Linked DNA regions of Arabidopsis thaliana. The protein of the gene in region 1 interacts with the protein of each later gene in a pairwise test. Each region holds a gene or a part of one and is shown on either strand. Other genes may lie near its edges.

What was found.
Region 2: the proteins of NRPB6B (region 1) and AT3G56270 interact in a two-hybrid assay, tested with the Arabidopsis thaliana proteins (one large-scale study listed by BioGRID).
Region 3: the proteins of NRPB6B (region 1) and COL5 interact in a two-hybrid assay, tested with the Arabidopsis thaliana proteins (one large-scale study listed by BioGRID).

Annotation. Positions count from the first base shown.
Region 1 is NC_003071.7:1,615,601-1,624,021, reverse strand, and holds NRPB6B (RNA polymerase Rpb6), read left to right. Parts: upstream 1-3,642; 5' UTR 3,643-3,775; coding exon 3,776-3,813; intron 3,814-4,100; coding exon 4,101-4,134; intron 4,135-4,214; coding exon 4,215-4,387; intron 4,388-4,473; coding exon 4,474-4,525; intron 4,526-4,625; coding exon 4,626-4,693; intron 4,694-4,784; coding exon 4,785-4,854; 3' UTR 4,855-5,231; downstream 5,232-8,421. Other genes in the region: AT2G04650 (ADP-glucose pyrophosphorylase family protein), read left to right, coding at 90-190, 272-350, 444-504, 583-629, 718-810, 896-986, 1,116-1,257, 1,329-1,479 and 3 more. UniProt on the Arabidopsis thaliana protein: DNA-dependent RNA polymerase catalyzes the transcription of DNA into RNA using the four ribonucleoside triphosphates as substrates. Component of RNA polymerase II which synthesizes mRNA precursors and many functional non-coding RNAs.
Region 2 is NC_003074.8:20,868,002-20,874,807, forward strand, and holds AT3G56270 (WEB family protein (DUF827)), read left to right. Parts: upstream 1-1,998; 5' UTR 1,999-2,218; coding exon 2,219-2,419; intron 2,420-2,713; coding exon 2,714-3,853; 3' UTR 3,854-4,106; downstream 4,107-6,806. Other genes in the region: AT3G56250 (uncharacterized protein), read left to right, coding at 81-155; AT3G56260 (uncharacterized protein), read right to left, coding at 198-791.
Region 3 is NC_003076.8:23,353,629-23,359,689, forward strand, and holds COL5 (CONSTANS-like 5), read left to right. Parts: upstream 1-1,708; 5' UTR 1,709-1,944; coding exon 1,945-2,676; intron 2,677-2,765; coding exon 2,766-3,101; 3' UTR 3,102-3,361; downstream 3,362-6,061.

The DNA of each region.
Region 1 (8,421 bases):
AGTTTCTTCAGGCTCAAAGGATGGGAAAGTTCTCAACTTTGTAATGATGATTGATCATATTATATTTGTTTTGTATTTGGCATGGACAGATATCAAATCTGGCTCAGATTTTTCTGATTGGATTTTACGAGGAACGAGAATTTGCTTTGTATGTGTCTTCAATATCTAACGAGCTGAAAATTCCAGTGCGGTAAGTTGTAGTAGCATTTGTGTTTTTGGTTTTTGGTGTGTAATGTGAAATCGAGAATTGAACGATGTTCTTGTTATATAGATACTTGAAAGAAGATAAACCCCATGGTTCAGCTGGTGCTCTTTATTACTTTCGTGATAGAATTATGGAAGAGAAACCGGTTTGATTTCTGATGAAATTCCCAACTTTAGTTCCTGCCTCATCAGTCATTTGTTTTCCTGATTGATCTTCCATTTCTTGTCTCTTTGAACAGTCACATGTTTTCCTCCTCAACTGTGATGTTTGCTGTTCTTTCCCTCTTCAAGGCATACTTGGTAATCTCCCTTTGAAATCGCTAATCTGCTTCATCGTTTTCATTTTCTTACTTTGATGTACTTCACTACTTTTCGTAGACGCACATCGAAGATATGGTGGTATTGGAACTATGCTAGTAATCAAGGTTCGTTATCCTGATGTTATTTTAGATGTCACTAAGGAAACAAACATAAAGATCAAACATAAACATGAATATCGCTTTTTCACTTCAGGTTTCTGCAGAAGCAGCTAGCCAATTTGGTGAATTGATAGCTGATCCTGATACTAAAGAACTCCTGCATTATACAGAGAAGCCCGAGACTTTCGTAATTATCTGCTAAACAATCCTGTTTTCTTAATTCCTTCACAGGCTCTGAAATTTGTTTAGCTTAAATTATCTACTCAATGCAGGTCAGTGACTTGATAAACTGTGGTGTCTATGTGTTTACTTCAGATATCTTCAATGCAATTGAAGAAGTATATAGCCAAATAAGAGACACATGTGAGTATTCATTATTGGCCTCTCTCAGAGACTTGCAATATTATCAATTAGAGACCTGCTTCATCATTTTCATGATTCTTTTGGTCTTTTCATAAGTTATTCATTGTATAATCTCTTTAAACTTGGCAGCTAGCAACTACCAATCCGCTACAAGGTCTGTTCCTGCAGATTTTGTGAGATTAGATCAAGATATATTGTCACCTCTTGCTGGAAAGAAGCAACTATACACATATGAGAACAAGGATTTCTGGGAACAGATCAAGACTCCGGGGTAAGTTGGTGGTAATCATTGTTTCAGACGTTCTTGGATTACTCCTTATGCTAAGAAATTGCTTTAAACAGGAAATCTTTGAAATGCTCGGCTTTATATCTTTCCCAATTCCGCGAAACATCGCCTCATATTTTAGCTTCAGGAGATGGTACTAATAGGAAACCAACTATAATTGGTGATGTTTATATTCACCCATCCGTAAAACTGCATCCAACCGCAAAGGTGAGTTTATTTGTTTCATCTCATGAATTCTAGCTAAACTTCTCATTCAGTTTGCAAATGAAATGACACACTTAAATTTCTTTGGAACAAGATCGGTCCAAATGTGTCGATATCAGCAAATGTTCGTGTTGGACCTGGTGTAAGGCTTATTAGCTGCATAATCTTAGACGATGTTGAAATCAAGGTAATTTGGAATCAGTGTTTTAGAATGTTCTTCTTGTTATGAATCCAAAAGATTCGTTGTTTAATGTTCTCTACTCTTGTTAAATGCAGGAGAATGCTGTTGTTATAAACTCAATTATCGGATGGAAATCTTCTATAGGTAGATGGTCAAGAGTTCAAGCTAGTGGAGATTACAATGACAGGCTTGGGATTACCATTCTTGGTAACTTCATTGTTTTCTTTTTGTTCAACAAATTTTTCGTTATATTTTTTCTGATTAATTTGTTTCTGCAGGTGAGGCTGTAACTGTGGAAGATGAAGTAGCAGTCATAGGAAGCATTGTTCTCCAGAATAAGACTCTTAATGTTAGTGTTCAAGATGATATCATCTTGTGATTTATCACAATGATTATCGTTTGGATTTTTTTTCTTTTTAATTGAAACAGAGAAACTTTTACAGAATTGTGTATTACATGAATTGAGTTCACAGGATTAGATTTTGAGTAAGTGAAACTATGGAAGATTTGTAAACTCTCACTGTACTTTGTGTTTAGATACTAAAAAGATTTTAGAAGAAAGAGTTTTAAAAGATCTAAGATAACAAGGAATCAAAGAAGTTTTGCTTCTTGATTGTGTAATCACTAGTGTTCAATACCTCCTTAGGCTCCTTTCTTTTGTGCAAATTGCTCACTAGAAAAATTGTTTATCTTGACTTCGTTTGTGGGGGTAGGCCCGGACATAATACCGGAACCCGAAGAACCGAACTGAACTTGACTCGAAATAACCAAACCCGTTCTACTTCGGTTCCGGCTAATTACTTGATCGGGTTCTGTTTTCAAATAACCGTGGGTACCGGAAATTACCCGAACTGAACCCGATACCCGTGGGTACTTTTTATTACCCGAACATATATATACATAGGGCTGCGCATATGGGTAACCCGTTCGGATTCGGGTAAAACCCGTTCGGGTTCGGGTTAAATGGGTAATGGATTTACTACCCAATAGGGTAAAATGAAAATTTTCGATTTCGGTCTAGTTCGGGTACATTCGGGTTCGGGTCGGCTTGGGTAAAGAATTTCAGGCCCTAAGAATAGCCAAACAAATGAAAACGGGTATTTTATGTGTAGATAGCGGGTACCCAACAAAAAAAAAACCTTAAATATTAACAAATTTTAATAATTTAATTAGATTTAGATATATTATACTAAATTTTGACAAACATAACAAATAATTTTTAAATAGTTGGGTATTTAGATCTAAAAGTAATTGATATATTTAGATTTATAATTATAATTTTAGATTATTACATTATATTAAGATTAAATATAATTAATATTTTTGATATTAAATCTATGTTCGGGTATCCTGTTTGGGTAACGGATAAACCCCGGACCGACCTGATACCCACGGGTTTACTAAAACTTTACCCAATGAAGTAATTTCTTAAAACCCTAACCCACCCCAACCCGATTTTTCGGTTCGGGTATCAGGTTCGATATCGGGTCCCGTTTTTTGCCCAGCCCTATATATACATATGAGGATATATATACACTAATAATGTGACTTGTTTAATGATTTGAGTTATGGAACAAGCTTAAAACAAGGTTTACTTCTTGTTTTATATTATTGGCTTAAGGAAAAACTTGTTATAATTTCAGATCTTTCGGGTTTTATGGATATTTTTATGTATGTTTGGGTATATTTGGACAAAGTTTGGGTAAGTAGTACTCAAACCCGAAATAGTTTTGGTTACTTATGGTTTTTTTAACTAATACCTGAATTATCGGACCCGAAGTGAAGCCGAACCGAACCCGACCCGAAATTGTTGATATAACCATACGGATCCAAAATTTCTAAACCCAAAAATTCGAACCCGAAAAATCCGACCCGACCCTGACCCGAATACCACATGCCCAGGGCTATGTTAGGGGAAAAAAAAAAAATACATGTGGGCTTAAATGGGGTTTGAAATTAAAACCGGTCTGAATAGACGGTTCATTAAGAAAACCGGCAATTAAAAACCGAACTTCATAGAGAGTCTTCTTTACGCATTCTCCGTCATTCGGTTAAGTTGCATCGATCGTTAGGGTTTTATCGAGAGAGCAAGGAGAGCGATTTCTCAAATCGACTTTAATGGCTGACGACGATTACAATGAAGTCGATGACTTGGGGTAATCTCTCCCTCTCTGTTTCCTATGTTAGTATCATTTGTACTCGATTTCAGTTGATTCTATCTTCTTCTTCCCGACGAATCGTAAACGATTGAGAACAATTGGATCAATTATTGTCTAGTTTGAGAGTCTATCAACGAGATTCTTTTTTGAAAATTTGCTTATTGTTCTGGCATCGTAGCATTGATTATAATTTCATATTGTTTAGATAGAAAACCCTAATTTCGTTTGAATCTTATACATCGGATTTCAAATTGTTGATGTTATGTGGTGATTTTCAATTGCAGATATGAAGATGAGCCAGCAGAGCCTGAGATCGAAGTAAGTTATTATTTGTAGAAGAGAGATTGACATTGCTTATTATTATTACTAGGCTGATTAGAATGTGTTGGTGTGAGTAGGAAGGAGTAGAGGAAGATGCTGATATCAAGGAGAACGATGATGTTAATGTTGACCCTTTGGAAACAGAAGATAAGGTTGAAACAGAACCTGTGCAACGCCCACGTAAAACCTCTAAGTTTATGACTAAGTATGAACGTGCACGTATCCTCGGCACTCGTGCTTTGCAGATTAGGTCAGCTACTGAGAACAATCTTTGTTGATTAACCGTTTAGTTGGCTCGGAAAGTTTGATTCTATGTACTGTTGTTGGCTGATACAGCATGAATGCTCCTGTTATGGTTGAGTTGGAGGGTGAGACTGATCCACTTGAGGTGTTGCCTTCTTCCTTCTTGTTGTGTTTTTCATGATTTGTCAGTAAATGTTGATATGTATATGAACATTTGTGTTGTTTATTGTATGATTTGGCTTAAGATTGCGATGAAAGAGCTTAGGCAAAGGAAGATTCCATTTACCATTAGACGTTATCTACCTGATATGAGGTGAGATTGCATTAGTTATATCAATACTTTTAGCTCTTCTTTCAAATTTGATATCTTCTTTTCTTGCGACTTACTTATGACTCTGAATCAGTTACGAGGAATGGGGAGTTGATGAACTGATCGTCGAAGACTCGTGGAAACGTCAAGTCGGTGGTGATTGATAAAATCTGGCCTATGTGTTTTGCAAAGCTTTCTGCTCTTGTATGGATTATGAACTTACGATATAGTCGCATGTAGAACTTCTTCATTTGTCCTATTCTCCAACACTACAAGAGTCAGGGACTCCAACAAAAATGCATGAACAACAAATTTTTTGTCCCAAGTTGTTTTTGGACATGGGTTTCGACAAGCCTGCATGTACATATACAAAGAAAGAAAATCCTTCGTGAAACCAAAAGAAGAAAACATCTATAATAGTTTGAGTATTGAGTAAGTACAACTCAATTGATAAACCTTTTCTCTCACACTTCCCAGCTTTTGTCGTCTCACAGAGTCAGATCGATTGATGCATAAATGAGTGATGCTAAAAATCAAAAAGCAAGATTAGAGAAGAATTATGCATGTTGTTTAAAGAAGTTGAGAAATAGTAATGTTAAAAACTATGTGAAGCGCTTGCTCGAGGATTGTTTCAGCAACACTATACAAGTGACTGGACTCAACTACTCACCATAGTCTCGGCCCAACGCAAGGATAGTGTAGCATGTTTCTTGATGAAATACATCTTTCAAACCACCGTTTACACCATCTGGCATGAGAGGAATCGAAGACGTCATGATGAATCTCCAAAATCTGCAGCCACTCTAATACAATGGATCGACAAGCAAATGCGTTTCCAACGCTGGCTTCAAAGTTGAAGTTAATCACTAAATTGTTCATTCTAATTTCTGATTTCAATCTATTTCATATAGAACATATGATACACTAATTGTAACGACGTTATCTTTTTTGAATCTAATTTACCATTTTCCAAAAAAAAAAAAAAAAAAAATGCAGGGATTAGAGAAGAATAATGCATTAAACTCAAAGCAAATAACTGTTAAATAGACCTTGGGATACACAACGTACAAAATAATGCATCTACATATACATTTTTGCAGCCATTTTAACAAATAAATTCTGGACTTTGAACTTATTTACGACTCAATGCCACTGAATTTATGCTAACAGTTAAATCAAATATTTACCTAACAAAAATATTACCTAAAATCTCTCATATATTAACTCCACCATTACTTCAAACGAAATCATTCCTAAAATCTCTCATAAGTATTTATTAATTTTCGGTTTTAATATCCTGTAAAAAAAATCGATTTCAATAAAATGAATTAATCATCCTGATTTTTCGTTTTAAATCATTTATTTTTGTTATAACCAGAGAACGAGATAGAAGAAATGAGTGTGTTATTCCATTGAGATAAAGGGTTCTTTATATAGGTGTACAAGGAAAGGGTAAAACCCTAGAAACATCTAGATGATGGGTTTAGATGATGGGCCTTATAATGGGCATCCATCTTTATTCATAACACTCCCCCTGATGACCATTATAGTATCATAACTCGTAAAGTATTTGAAATGCTGCCTCATAAAGGGTTCTCATTAAAATGCTGCCTCGTAAAGTAAGGGTACATCCACACATATCATTCAATCTCCCCCTCGGAAACATCTTCTTCAGGAGATGATTTTCAATCAAATACAATATCTCGTTGGAATTAATAACCATAATCTTAATGATCAAAATTATATGGTTTTCATATAGACTTATAAATATCATTATCCAGTGATATTTTATCATAGATAATTGTCATCGTATTACTTATGATAACTCTGTAGGAGTTTTAATGATTTTCAAAACAAATATTAGTTTGATCAATATATTTTGACAAACTCAATATAAATATACATTTATATGATTATATGTCATGTTATATATTTCTTTTTATTCGATCGAGTAGAGTTCTAGAGAACATAATTCTCATATAATTAATCCTTCAGAGATTATATCTTTCAAGAATTTCATATAAATGTCATATCCAGTGTTCCGTGTCTTATTGCCAGACTTTAGATACTTAAAAATATTACATCCACCACAAGAGAATATATCTCTTCATAATAAATTTCTTATCTTTGTGAAAATCTCATTAATTTCACTATTCTTTCACATAAAGACTCATTTATCTTCCAATGATGTTTTTATGGTTTTACACATCATGTGCATAGACTACTAGTCCAAATATCTCTACTAGAGATTATAATTATATGTCTATTTCTTCTTTTCCATTTTTGGCTAATCATTACTTTGTGTACACTTTTCAATAGACTTTCTTTCATAATCCTCCTTTTTGTCCATAATATCAACTGCTCATAGCATGCAAATATATTACGACGTCGATTTGCATTTGATTCCATTATATTTTGACATGACATAGCTAGCTAGATCTCTTCATTGTCAAGTACTTAAATGTTTCATTTGTCATGTTTATGTCTCTTTTAGAGATCATTCACTCTTTTCAAGAGATCATCAAAATATTTATTTCCTCAATTTGGTCATTTTTAATTTTGTGCTCCTTCACTTTTACGAGGATATTTATATTTGGAACCAGGGTCTATTACGCTTTATGCGATCTTAAGACTCAATAGCAGTTTGAAATTGGTCCTTACAGGACATTCATTATATTCTGGAGCATTTAATTTACAACTGGTATAGGTGACTTCATCACTTTATTTGGGTCAGCAAATGCGTCTGGCAATTACAACGCTAAATTCTGTAATTGAATTATCTTTTGGACTCTTAATATACATTCTTTACTCCGAGGATCATTGATAATTCATTTCTATTTATCTTTTTCACCAGTTGTATACATTCTCCCCCTTATGTTGGAATAGCTGACTATATAATATGATAGTCTTCAAAACGGTATATAAATCCTTCTAGGATGGCTTAGTTATCATTCATATCCAACATGTATTCTTATCCTCCTTCGAGGGTTCATCTCAACGTGCTGTGGTGGAGCACTTATCACATTCAAAGATTTTAGATGAAAACTATTTGGTTTCTGACCCAAAACCAACAATAATGGGGGAAACTATTAATTATTCATTGGCTTGATGCGTATCGATGTTACTAAACCATTTTGTGTATGAACATGAATTTCAAAATGTTAAACACTTATCCCAACGGATATCCAATAATGGTTATAATAAATAAACACTGAAATACTCTTGTACTTTAATCAAGAAAGTAACCTCGCAAACTCTATGTTGCGGGTTTATAACAAGGATAAATATGACCTTCTAGTCGATGCAACAATCGAGTCAATGCGTCCATTGAATCGATGCATCTTTTATAGCCATTAGGTATCTAAATGTCATACAGTAGGTGATCAACCCATAATCATCTCCTTGCATATGCTTACGAATAGATAAAGTCAAAATTATTTTGACTGGTATAAAAATCACATTATCATATTGTTTTCTCAGCAAGTAACAATTGATAAATCATTAGGAAGAATCTTCTGGTTTTTCACCTAATGTCCACATAATTCTCAATACTTTCGCATCATCATTAAACCAGGATGACCAATCCGGTTAAGCCAAATATACTCTTGAAACTTCTAGTTTTTTTTTTTTTTTTTTTTTTTTTTTAAAACTTATGATTTACTTTTCATTGCTTATCAGTTACTCCCTTAATGAGATTTTATAATCAAAATTACTTTCATGTATTTTAATAA
Region 2 (6,806 bases), on another chromosome or scaffold:
TTTAACATCGTTTCAGTGGGAGAACGTTCTTGGTTCTACTTAGACATGAATTGACGAAAAAGCCTGTCCACAATACACAGGTAAGGCCACGACTGAGAGACAAACTATATACTTACATTCACACACCAATAACTATAACACTCTCTGTTCAATGAGGCGAAGCAGCTCATAGAAAAAACCAAGCTTTATTCACATAATCAAGCTTTATTCATGTCGCTGATGATTAGAGCTTTACCTGTGGTCTCATGTCTCTTCATACCCTCCATTGACCCAGAGAACAGAGCTCTTGTCACACTCCCCATTGAAGAACTACAGCCAAGTCTTCCCCCGTTGGAGCAACACAGAGTCGAGGTTGGTGAAGACCTAAGCTCATCCTCTTCGTAGTTAGCGTACAGAAGTGGCGATTTTTTGTCGTGACTCATACGTTTTTTCAAAGAATGTGGTGGCGAGGAGGAAAAGGAAGATGAAGATGACGTAGAAGACCAAGAAAACGATGAGCTTGCCGTCTTCTTGCTACCGTGATTGCTCCTCCTGAGATCACTGAACATGGAGAAGGACAGAAACTTACTTAGTTTTGATCTCACCTTGCTTTGCGTCCTTGGTGTCGACAAAATCCCGGAGGAGTAGTATGAGGGCGGCGGTGTGAGAGGCAGAGGAAGAGAGGAATCGGAGCAGAGGTGGTTTTTGGGTGTTCCTGGCCTTGACTCCCATATGAATGGTATGGAGGCTCCGCCATAGTAGGAGGATCTCTCTTCATCGATTGCAAAGTCATCTTCTAGTCTTTCTGACATCTGTTTTTTATAAACTCTCGGTTTATGTTTGAGTCGGCTTTTGATGAGAATTGATGTACGAAAATTGAAACAACAAGTGCTAGTTTCGAAGCTTCTTTAGAGGTGACAAAGAGTAATATGTATTGCGAGTAAAACAAGTTTGCCGATGAAACAAAAGAATCTTCTTTGCACGGTTGTATATAATCGTGGATATTTATTCTGCTTTTTTATTTTCTTTAGGAAAAATTCATATGGATGAGCATATTACAAGTATATGGAAGATCATACATAGGGGAAAAAATTGGTTAGATAATAAATGAAAGGTGGCTATCTTACTGTATGCATTACTTAATGCGTTTTCATTAATAATAAGAGAGTCGTGAGGTGAGGATCACATTATTGGTAAACAGTTACTGTAGTAAGCATTGCTTAGAGTATTTAATATGTTACCTTTTGTGGGATTCCACTCTATAAACCTTTTTATTTGGTGTTCTTATAATTAAGGAAATAATTATTGACCAACAAATCCACACGTTTTAATATATATCAAGACTACTAACCTTGTTTGTCGTAATTTGAAACTACTGACCAAAAGTTTGGGGCATGTTCATCCAAAAGATATAATGGTTTACATTTAATGAAATGATAATTTAGATAGGATATAATAGGGAACTACTCAGAGTGTCAGACCAAACCATCTGAATACGTACCAATGTCAAGTGCTAACTGGTAACTCCCAACAATAGTAATTAGAAAAGATATATATATTTGTCGGTTCTAATTAGTTGGAAGAAACGTATGCGGAGAAATAAATAGAAACGTGAGAGATCGAAAGACGACGGTGATGAATTTGGACGGTTGAGTGAGGGAGGTCGTATAATTTAATGGTCGTTTCCAATCGTATTCGTACGTGGTCCGTTTTCTCCTACTCGGATTTTGCTTTAATGTGATGGCCACACAAATTGGTTAGAAAACTATAAGGGAAAGCTCCACCTATTTATTTCACTCATACATTTACTATACACTAATATCGCACGGGAAAATTATAACAATTTTCGGATATTCGTATTTGAACAGAAACAAACAACACATACGTAAGAATTTCCTTCACAAAAAAGCCCAATATAGACGAACTTGAACTTCGTACCAACGGCCCAATATCGCTTCCTTAATCAACGGCCCAAAATTTTCATTTATTAATTAATCAGATAACCAATCAATAGAAGCCACGTCGCCACAGCCATTAGTAGTAGCATCATCAAAGCCTGCATTCTTGTTCTTCGAGTCTCTCTCGTGAGTGACTTTCATTACCGAGAAAAACACAATCATAGAGAAGCTCTCAATCTTGTTTGCTTCTGATCAGTAACTATGATTACTGTAAATAGATCACTCTTTCATTATCTTTCCCTTTCACTTGTACAAACCAATTCGTTCTCGAGCTAACGGAAATGGCGGAGAGGCAACAGAGCCCTGCGGCGGAGACGATTCCCGGTACACCCGTAATCCGGGAAGTGAGAACCGGAACCGGGTCCGAGAATTTCAACCCGGAGAATACAAGGAGAGGATGCTTGAGAGCTGAAATCGACATTTCTCCACAGTTATATGGTGGTCGTGGGTTCTGGGTTCCCTTCAATCTTGAAGACAATTACGTGAGTTCTCTTCTAGTTTCCGATTTACAAAGTCTGTTCATTTAAAGTTTGAGCATTAATGTCACTGAAAGTTTGAAATGTATGTTCTCTAACTGTTAAGTATGCTAACAAACTGAATAACTGATAGCTGATTCGATTTGGTTACTGAGTAGATATTTTGTAATAAGTGATAGCTAATTTGATGTTTGCATTTGCGGCAATTGATTCTGGAACTAGCAAGATGTTATGTAAGATTTTTTTTTGGTATTATATAGCATGATTTGTTTTATGTTTTTTTGGTTTGTCATTCTTCAGGACTGTGTGGGAGAATTTGACATAAAGAGAATGGAAGAACAGACAGTGGAGCTTGAGAAGGATCTGATTATGAAAGAGTTAGAGACTCTGGATCTTCTTGAAGCTCTTGGATCAACCAAAAGGATTTTTGAAGATTTGAAGTGGCAGCTTCAGCAGCAAGCACTGAGATGCAAGGAGACCCCTCAACATTTGCGTTCACACTCCAAAGAGATGGTCGATGAGCACTGCCATCGTAATCCCCTGAAGTCTCCGGATCTGATGACCATGGAAATGAAGCAAGCTGGTATGAATCTTTGTAAAACCATGGATGATCTTGCGTTGATCCACTCTTATGCTGAATCTCTGAATATGAAAACGAAGGAAGAGAAAGATGTCCTTGGAGTAGCGTCTCTAGCGGAGGAACTTAACAGTTTGAAGTTTAAACCAGCAGGTCCTGATCAAGTAGAGAGATTCAATACCGAGAATTTACCAGTGAATCCACAATGTGAACAGATTAAGATGGTAGTTGAAACCTATGATACAGCTTTCCATAAACAGAGCAAAACCTGCCCGAGAACTGCAGATATGAGATTGGTTGCTGCAAGAAAAATGGAAGAGGCAGCAAGAGCAGCGGAAGCACTTGCGCTTGCTGAAATGACCATATTATCCAGCAGAAGAAACCAAGACGCTCTCTGCTTCCCTAAGACACCATGTTTTCCATTAACACTTAAAGCACAGATGAACAAAGAATTATCCACCAATGTCTCAAGAATAGAGATCTTGAGGAAGCTGGAGGAAGCTAACGAAGAAGTTAAACAAAGTAAACAAGCCTTGGAAGTTGCGTTAAACCGGGTAGAAATCGCTAGTGTGAAGCAACTTGAAGCAGAAGAGGCATTTCGGCAGTGGAACATAGAGTCATGGAAAGACCAGAAAGCTGTTGGAGCAAAACGCTCGATGAAAAGAGAAAGCTTTCCTCAGCGCTCTTTCTTGAGCCATATCAATCAGCACGAGCCACTGATCGATCTCCCTGAGCCAATGCTGAAACGTAACGTCTCAATGGGTAATGCTCTTAACCGAAAAGATGAGAAACAGTTGGTCACGCCGAGGAGAAAGTTTAGGTTCATACAAACACATCAAGCTTCCATTAGAAAAACAGAGTAAGCTAAAAAAATACCCAACCTTTGAAAACATGTTTTGCACATTTCGATTCCTGTTTTTTTTTATTCTTGGTTTGATCATTGATGGGTGTTGTTGCTTCCATCAAAAGCAAAACACAGATGATTAGAGTGAGATGTGTTGTTTTGACTCAAATGTGACAAAAAGAAAAACATTATAGTAAAAACTAAAGCTTCTAGTAATCATAATTAATTATGGGAGTTAGTGAAGGGCATTGATCATATGATTTAGGTGGTGGGCACTTTCTTAACTAATGCATTTTAAGTGTTAGATTAGCTAATTAGGTGATCCATAATCAATACCGTAGGTCCTCAACTGTTTATTTTTTAATAACGTTGGTCTTTATAATGTTTCTAGATTCTCAAAATAGAAACTGAAACATTCAGGTTGAACTACGGAGATAAAAACACATTTTACGATTTGACCAGTTTGTACTTTATACTGTATAAGTTTGGAGTGGTCAGATACAGAATGATGACGTGGTCAAGGCTTTTAAGACAATCTAGATATCTCCAATAACTTAATGCCACGTGTTTTAGTCTTCACAACAAAGATTTCGTCTGGAATCCTCGTATTGGCTTAGAGCGTGGGACCAAACGAAACCAAAAGAAGGAAAAGGAACTAAATAAATAAATAATTAAAAAATAAAGTTGAAAAGTAAGAGTGGCGTGGGTTAGCAAAATCATTGTCTCAGGCTAAAATGTGCCACTCCCAACACGTGGGCTACTCTTTTCCAAGTGTCAACTATCTGACGGTACGTTTGCACTTTTTTAAATTAGGTTGCTTTGCGCTCGTTTCGTGTCAATAATCCAAAGACAACGTCTTTATCTTTATTTATTAATTTTGTTTCTCCTAAACATTAAATGTTGTAGCTTTTTGATCATTTTTCATGTTGTAAAATATAATATAATACCCTCTGCTTTGCTTATAAAACGGAAAGGATGCATAGTACACAAAGATCCAGACCAACAAAAAAAAAAGAGGGAAAATCTCCTTGTTCAATAGTCAATAAGTTAGCCGCTATCGATCTTTAGAAAGATCCGTCGATGAGTCCATCCCATGGCGACCGGACCACCGCATTTGCCTCGACGGATCTAGTCATGTTGAGCATGGTACCGGTATTCAACCATCCTTAATTTCATTCTTTGATACCTTTTAGGCATGATACTCTTGATATATGATTCTATAAAGGTATATATATTGAAACTATTTTATGTAAGAAGTTTATTATTGAGGGCACACGTGCAGACATGTTTCAGGCTTAACCATATGGAGAAGGGATGATAACGAGATCTCTCTAGACGTGGATGGGATTTTCGGTTCAAAGATGGAATATTCATATAAATTCACATGCGGATTATAGTTAAATCGGAATAAAGTTTTGATAAGTGGACTCTCCTTACCTAAGTGGGGATGGTAGTCCAGTCTTGTATCAATATATATATTTGGGCTAACTTAGCATGCATATAGAATCATTATCAATGTGTTAGAATATTCTCCACCTATGTTTCGTTCATCCCAATTCCCACATTACTTCGAAAGGTGTCTCAAAAGGCAAGTCATTTTTTCTGGCTATGTATTATTAAATGAAGCTTCGGTTACTAATACTTTTCCACAATTTTCCCCCCTAATTTATTATAAGTGTTTGTAATGGAGAAAGGTTTGATGGAATTAGTAGTTTCCTTTTATGTATGAATGTGATATGTTTTATATTGTAAAGTAGGTTAGCAACTATTTCACTAGAAATCTGCAAAAAGCTACATTATTTATCAATGGCCAAAAAAACATTTGTGGCTAAAAATGAATGGCCACTATAGATACCCTATGGCTATCTAGCTAGCCGTTTCCATGAGAACAATTTATGAGTTTGGAGAGCATGTTTGATCCATAGAAGCAGAATGTGGAGGCTTGAAGGAGGATCGAGACCAGCGAGATTGGTGAAGAACCTTCAGATTGAGTTACTAAAAGTGCTAGAGAAATAGATGATCTTGCGTTTCGTTCTCTTGATGTAGCGACCCCTATCACAAGTATAAAAATATGGAAGCAAAAACAAATTCTGAAATTACATATTATTAATCTTTTGTGCCATGGGACCGCTTATACAGGCTAAGACAGACAATATCTTAAACCCTAAACATTTTCATTTTCAATGAATTTTACATTCTTAGCAAAACAAATTAACAAACAAAAAAGAGAAGAAAAAAAACGATTCCAAGTAGCTATCGAATATACAAACCGTTCACCGTTTCTTAATTTGGAATGATGGACTAAAACCAAGTTAATTTATGTTAAGAGTACAGACTCGAGAGCAGGCTGAAGAGTGTGCCATATGGAATTAGTATTGAACAATAATTATATTACTTTTGAGAGAACATATTTATACATCAGAGATTAGGATTTTTCTATCTACAATTACACTTAAGACTTTTACATTTATATAATAACATTTTTCCTTTACATAACCCCTCAAGATTGGACTGACTACTCCACTCTTGGAAAAAATGTTAATTTGAAAAAGGTTAACGATTGCAAGCCAGTGGATTTGTCAAGGCATCGACGAGTTGGTCTTTAGATGAAAGACAAGCAACTTGAAGTGTTTTTTAAGTTATTAGAATATTCCTAATTAAGTGATATTCGAGGGCAAGATGTTTCATTCTCAAATGGAACATCGGATTGGCACATAAATATGTTGCGTCCACATTAAATGACGGGAGTAGATGATGTAATTGAGATGCCAGGCTATGAGATCCAGTGAATTTCAGAAGAGGTATTTGGCACTGAGTTGTACTACCATGTAGCTTTAAAGCTACCTGAAAGTACTGATGCTAGAAAGAGAAGAAGAATAACAACAATGTATGTTCTCATGAAGAAATACCAAATGTAACTATCTCTTTTTCAAAATACCTAAAACAACAAAAATATTACGAAGGATGGTTTT
Region 3 (6,061 bases), on another chromosome or scaffold:
AACATCCTCGATTGTGGTGGAATCTGTTCCGATATATTATTGGTTAATTTTTGATTGAGGCGAACTAATTATGTAATAAGTACTCTTCTTTTCTAAACTTTGAATCATATATAGTCAAATATTGAAAATAATAAAAAAGAAGATACAGAAAATTTATTCGCACATGATTTTAAAATTGACGATAAAATCTTGAGATGGGGTCAAAATACAGTGCATTTTAGTGCCCAAAACAGCAAAACAATTTTGCGTGGATCTCATGTCGGAAGATAACAATAAAGATAAATATCATTGGCTATGTAATATATATAGATAGAACTGTGATATAAAAATCTATCGCAATATTTCTATTGTACAAATATGTTTCCTCTAACTCTTTCGTATACGTGGATAGATAAGGATTTTGATAGTGTTGCCTTATATCTTTTCTTTTCACTCTCTTTTTAAGTACCAACCGTTGCGTTTACTTTGTTCTTCCTTTTGGAACTAGACCCTAGGTCAAACGGGCCTGTGTAAATTTTTGGATTATACAGTTTTTAGCCGGTAAACGAAAAAGAATGTATTTTACTACCTAAGAAGAACATATCAGAAAGCAAACATTATAAAAGAAAATATCGTATAAGTATACTTCATCATTTAAGATTATTGATTAGTAAAATATATATCAGAAAGCAAACATTATATCAGAAAGCAAACATTAGAAAGATTTAATATTTTGAGAGAAAAGATAAATTATAAGGTATGATCTTATGAGAATTGAATCTCGAACACGTTGCTTTATAACACACTACAAAATGTATATTTTTATTGATAATATATTACCGAATCTTCATTACTAAAACCGCAAAAAGAAATCTTAAGTAAAGCTATACCTTATGATTTCTCGAAGTCAAAGTTTCTGTAATTAGAAAGAAAAATCAAATTTGCTTTCATGCCGAACTGTAGATAAAGATTTCTAAATCATGCCGACCATACTGTCCATTTTTTCAATATTATTTAAAATTCCATGAATATCCATCCTCAAAGGGCCCTGTCTAGAATACGATACAACTAGTATATAATAAGTCTACAACTACGTAACGGAGTTATCATTCTAAAAGATAATACATATTTGACAAAATAAATAGAAAATTAAAGTTTTTAAAAAAATATTTGTAAAATTTATGAACATAGTGGTCATTTGGTCGAGAAAGAAGATTTTTTTTTTCTTTTAAGATGAAAAAATTGTATGGGTCATTAATATCATCTTATTATTTAAAGATGTACAAGCTTTAGCTTATCTCATTTAAGGATGTACAAGTTATATGCATACACACGCAAAAATAAAAATAAATCAAAGTTTAATATTTAGTTTGGTGAGAAGAATTTGAGTCATTGACATAATAAATTTTGAAATCATGTTTGAAAAGGAGACTATAAGCTAGTATCGGTCCCTAGACGAAATGATGCCTCAAGAACATACGAAGTTTATTAATTAAACTTTATTTCTATTCATTAACAAATAAAACAGCCAAAACAAAACTAATTCAATACCGACATGATAGATAAAATCCATTCAAAACCTCAAACAAATTTGTTTTGGAGTTAACAGAAATAAAATATTTTGAATTTGTAGATACTCCTACATGAAAGAAAAATGAATTACGATATCAAGGACCAGCCTAATTATTTTATTTTGTTAGCCTAATTTTCATTTCTACAAAACATATCTCCATCACGATTTTATTAAAACAAATCCCATAATTCGATTTTATTATGTGGATGTCATGTTTACACGTGTCATATTACAATTCGTTAAAATACAGTGTCTCTTCTCTGTCCGACTGGGCATGACAGATCATCCAAGCAAATCAAATACCCAACTCTCACACGTTCTCAAACAAAAACTTCAAAGAGAGAGAGAGAGAGAGTTTTGTGAACTCAAGAAAATAAAAAAAGTTATAGTTAATGGGATTCGGCTTAGAGAGTATCAAATCAATCTCCGGCGGATGGGGCGCGGCGGCGCGTTCCTGTGACGCTTGTAAATCAGTTACCGCCGCCGTGTTCTGTCGAGTTGACTCAGCTTTCTTATGCATAGCATGTGACACAAGAATCCATTCCTTCACTCGCCACGAGCGCGTGTGGGTTTGTGAAGTTTGTGAACAAGCTCCCGCCGCCGTCACTTGCAAAGCCGACGCCGCCGCTCTTTGCGTCAGTTGTGATGCCGATATTCACTCTGCTAATCCTCTCGCTAGCCGTCACGAACGTGTCCCCGTCGAAACTTTCTTCGACTCAGCCGAAACCGCCGTCGCCAAAATCTCAGCTTCTTCGACTTTTGGTATCCTTGGCTCATCCACCACCGTTGATTTAACCGCTGTTCCGGTTATGGCTGATGATCTCGGTTTATGTCCGTGGTTACTTCCTAATGATTTCAACGAACCGGCTAAAATCGAAATCGGAACTGAAAACATGAAAGGTTCTTCTGACTTTATGTTTTCTGATTTCGATCGGCTTATTGATTTCGAGTTTCCGAATTCGTTCAATCATCATCAAAACAACGCCGGAGGAGATAGTCTTGTTCCGGTTCAGACGAAAACAGAGCCTCTCCCGTTAACTAACAATGATCATTGCTTCGATATTGATTTCTGCAGATCAAAGCTCTCTGCTTTCACTTACCCTTCTCAATCAGTCAGCCACAGTGTAATTTCCCTCCGTCAAAATCAAATCTTTTATCATAAAATTTGCTTAAATTCAGTAAAAAACTAATCTTTGAATTTTGTGATTTTCAGGTTTCGACTTCTTCTATTGAATACGGTGTAGTTCCTGACGGAAACACAAACAACTCTGTTAACCGGAGCACGATCACTAGCTCGACGACTGGTGGTGATCATCAAGCGAGCTCTATGGATAGAGAAGCTAGGGTTTTGAGGTACAGAGAGAAGAGAAAGAACAGGAAATTTGAGAAGACGATTCGTTACGCTTCGAGGAAAGCTTATGCAGAGTCACGGCCAAGGATCAAAGGCCGGTTTGCGAAAAGAACAGAGACAGAAAACGACGACATTTTCCTTAGTCATGTTTATGCTTCAGCAGCACACGCACAGTACGGTGTCGTACCAACGTTCTGATTCGAATCTACGGTGGATAAACAATCAACCTGAAGACTTCATATCTTCCACCGTTGATTTACAGTCGGTGTATAATAAGTATAGTGAGTCTTACCGTAGACAAACATCTTATCCTCTTTACCGTTTTAATTACTTTTTTTTTACGCGCTCTCACTGCCACTGTAACTCTTTTTTTTTTTCTTCCTATATATGTATGCTTATTTTTATTTAGAAAATGTTATGAAATCATATAATTTGGTAATTATAGTTTCTATTGGCTGATGTTGTCTTGTCGCTAATCATATAATTTGGTAATTCTAATCTCTATTGGCTGATGTTGTCTTGTCACTAGTTTTGTTGATGCAGATTAGGTGGAGTTTTGGCTTGGTAATTGTTACGTAGCATAAATTATAACGAAAGCACAAACTATATGACATTTAATACTAATAGGGGGAGATTTTTAGGTCACTATAACTTACACAAAAGTATTTTTCTGAGATTTATCTAATCAATCTAGCTCATGCATTTTTAATATTTGTATCCCATGCACGAGAAGCATCGGATTTTTGTTTTTTTTGTTACATGTAGTTGTGAGTTTTTTTTTTTATGTTTGAAATCATGAAAAAATAGTCATACGTATGTGTAAACTATCTCTCTAATCTACCGTTGAAAGCTTTTTATTTGTTGTTTTCTTTGTTCCGAAAATACTTATTGTATTACTGAAAAGTTTTTTGATTCGTTAAGGCATATATGTATATTCCAGATCCAAAATCTCTGGAACTTTCGCAGAGTTAGTGAAAATAGTTGCTTTTCCGGAAATCGATCGTAGGAAAAGAAGGGAAGGTTGCAATTAATGGTTTTGTCCGAAACTTCATTAACTTTGCCTTTTGGGTAGCTGTAGAGCCAATCTTATCTCTCTGCAAGAACGTGATTATTGTCAGATAAAGTCAAAGTCCATTTCAACTGTGATATTTTGTCGTTAGTGATCGGTGATTTATGGTATCACTATCTCGTATTATCTAATAGCCTTTACACAATCTCGGACCTAAGTTAACTATATTCATTCAAGGAGGCTAAGAATGAGCCAGAGTATTTTCTTCATTTTAGATGTTTACACTGATCTACCACAATTGAAATCATAGTAGCTAGGAAAACTTGAATCCTATCTCTTATATTTCAGAGTATATATTTGAACCACTAAACTATTCTAAACCTTCGACTGTTAGATGATCCACTGATAAAATATGCACGTAATAACCTTGTTATGTTTTTCTAATAAATCATCTACTCGTAAGTTACCTTATAGTTTACTTAAAAGTTATATCGTAGTGTCTTTGCAACTACTATAGGACTTGCATACGTATGATATAACAAAGTATGTTAAAGACATATCAATTTGTTAATACATACACATAATCTTCTAAACTCACGCAGCAGTCTCTTCAAATTCATACCACCTCTAGCTATAATCTCGTTAACATTTTTTTAGAATGTAGCTACTTTTTATGAAATGTATATACAGTATTGTGAATATATAACTCATGATCAATACTTTGGATTGAGATATAGTTGAATGAGACTTCTGCCGTCCAAGTGGGTTTAGAGACCTTGATACAAGGGGCAATTTAGGCAGGATATTTTTTTGGAAGGTAAGCTTGAGATTTGCAAATAGTGGCTACGAATGCTTTGGGGCCACATATATACAATCATAATAACGTTAATAATAGCGCATTAAAGAAAAGTTTTGACAATACATAGAACTAAAGTTTGATTTATTAAACAAAAAAAAAACAAAGAATTAAAAGTTGGATGTTGAGTGTCACGAATAAATTGGGTAAATGTGGTGTTTTTCCCCCAATTAACCTTTGATTAAGCTTGTTAGGTGATTTCCACCAAACTCATTGTCTATTATGCATTAATCATACGATTATTATTCTTTATAAATGATTATCAGTCTAATTGATTTCAATTTATTTTGTAAAGACATTTCCAAGTTTACATGACAACGTGTATAACTCGTGTGCGAATGTATGTTCCTTGGACTTATATTAAATTAAAATCATGTATTAGATGCAGCATGCATGGGTTGACACACTTCAAAATACTTATACGTCCAACTTTTTTTTTTTTTTTTTTAACATATAGAACTACTATTTGTAGACTTGTAGTCACAATGCAAACAATTATAATATTATAAACGAATATTTTCTTGTAATTTATCAAATTCTTTTCTTGAAAGCTGTGGTTTCTTAACCGAGTATCTATATCTACAACGACATTCGAACGAGTTTACGTCTAAGTAAGACACTCGTATTCGTATATAGATGGTTCATCATCATCATTTAAGCACTTTACAAACCGTTGGATATGAAACTTGACATAGTGTGACAAAACAAAAATTTTGGTAATGGTGGTGACTACTGATTAAGTGATTAGTGACACAGTACTCTCAATAGCAAAATTCCACAATGCTTATACAGATTATATACTTTATGAAAAACAATGACAAATAGTATATTTTAGTCATCGATCATCTATATGACTTAAGTAATAATAACTTTTTAATTATGACTCGTGAATTTTGGAAACCTTTTTTTCTTTTGTCAACCAAAGTAATCTTTAAATTGTGTAAACTCCCCCAAAAAGAGGTAATAAAGAGGCACATTGTCACATTTAAAGGGAAAAACTTGTTAACAGTTGAACCAATAAATTGGGAAGAAAGAAGAGAAAAAGAGACAATTATTTGTTGGCACCATGAAAGAGAGACCTGCGTGGCCCAAAGTGGGTCCGACATAGACTGGGTCGAAGAGGAGACAAGTGGAGGGTCCGACCATACCCTAACCACGTGCATCACCGGCCCAGAGGGCTGGTCTCGTGGTCCACTTCTGCACCTTAATCCCTATCCTAACAGTTCCCATCTGCCACTAGATAAACATTGCCATTGCAAAACAAAACAAAGAAACTAACAAAAATAACTTAAC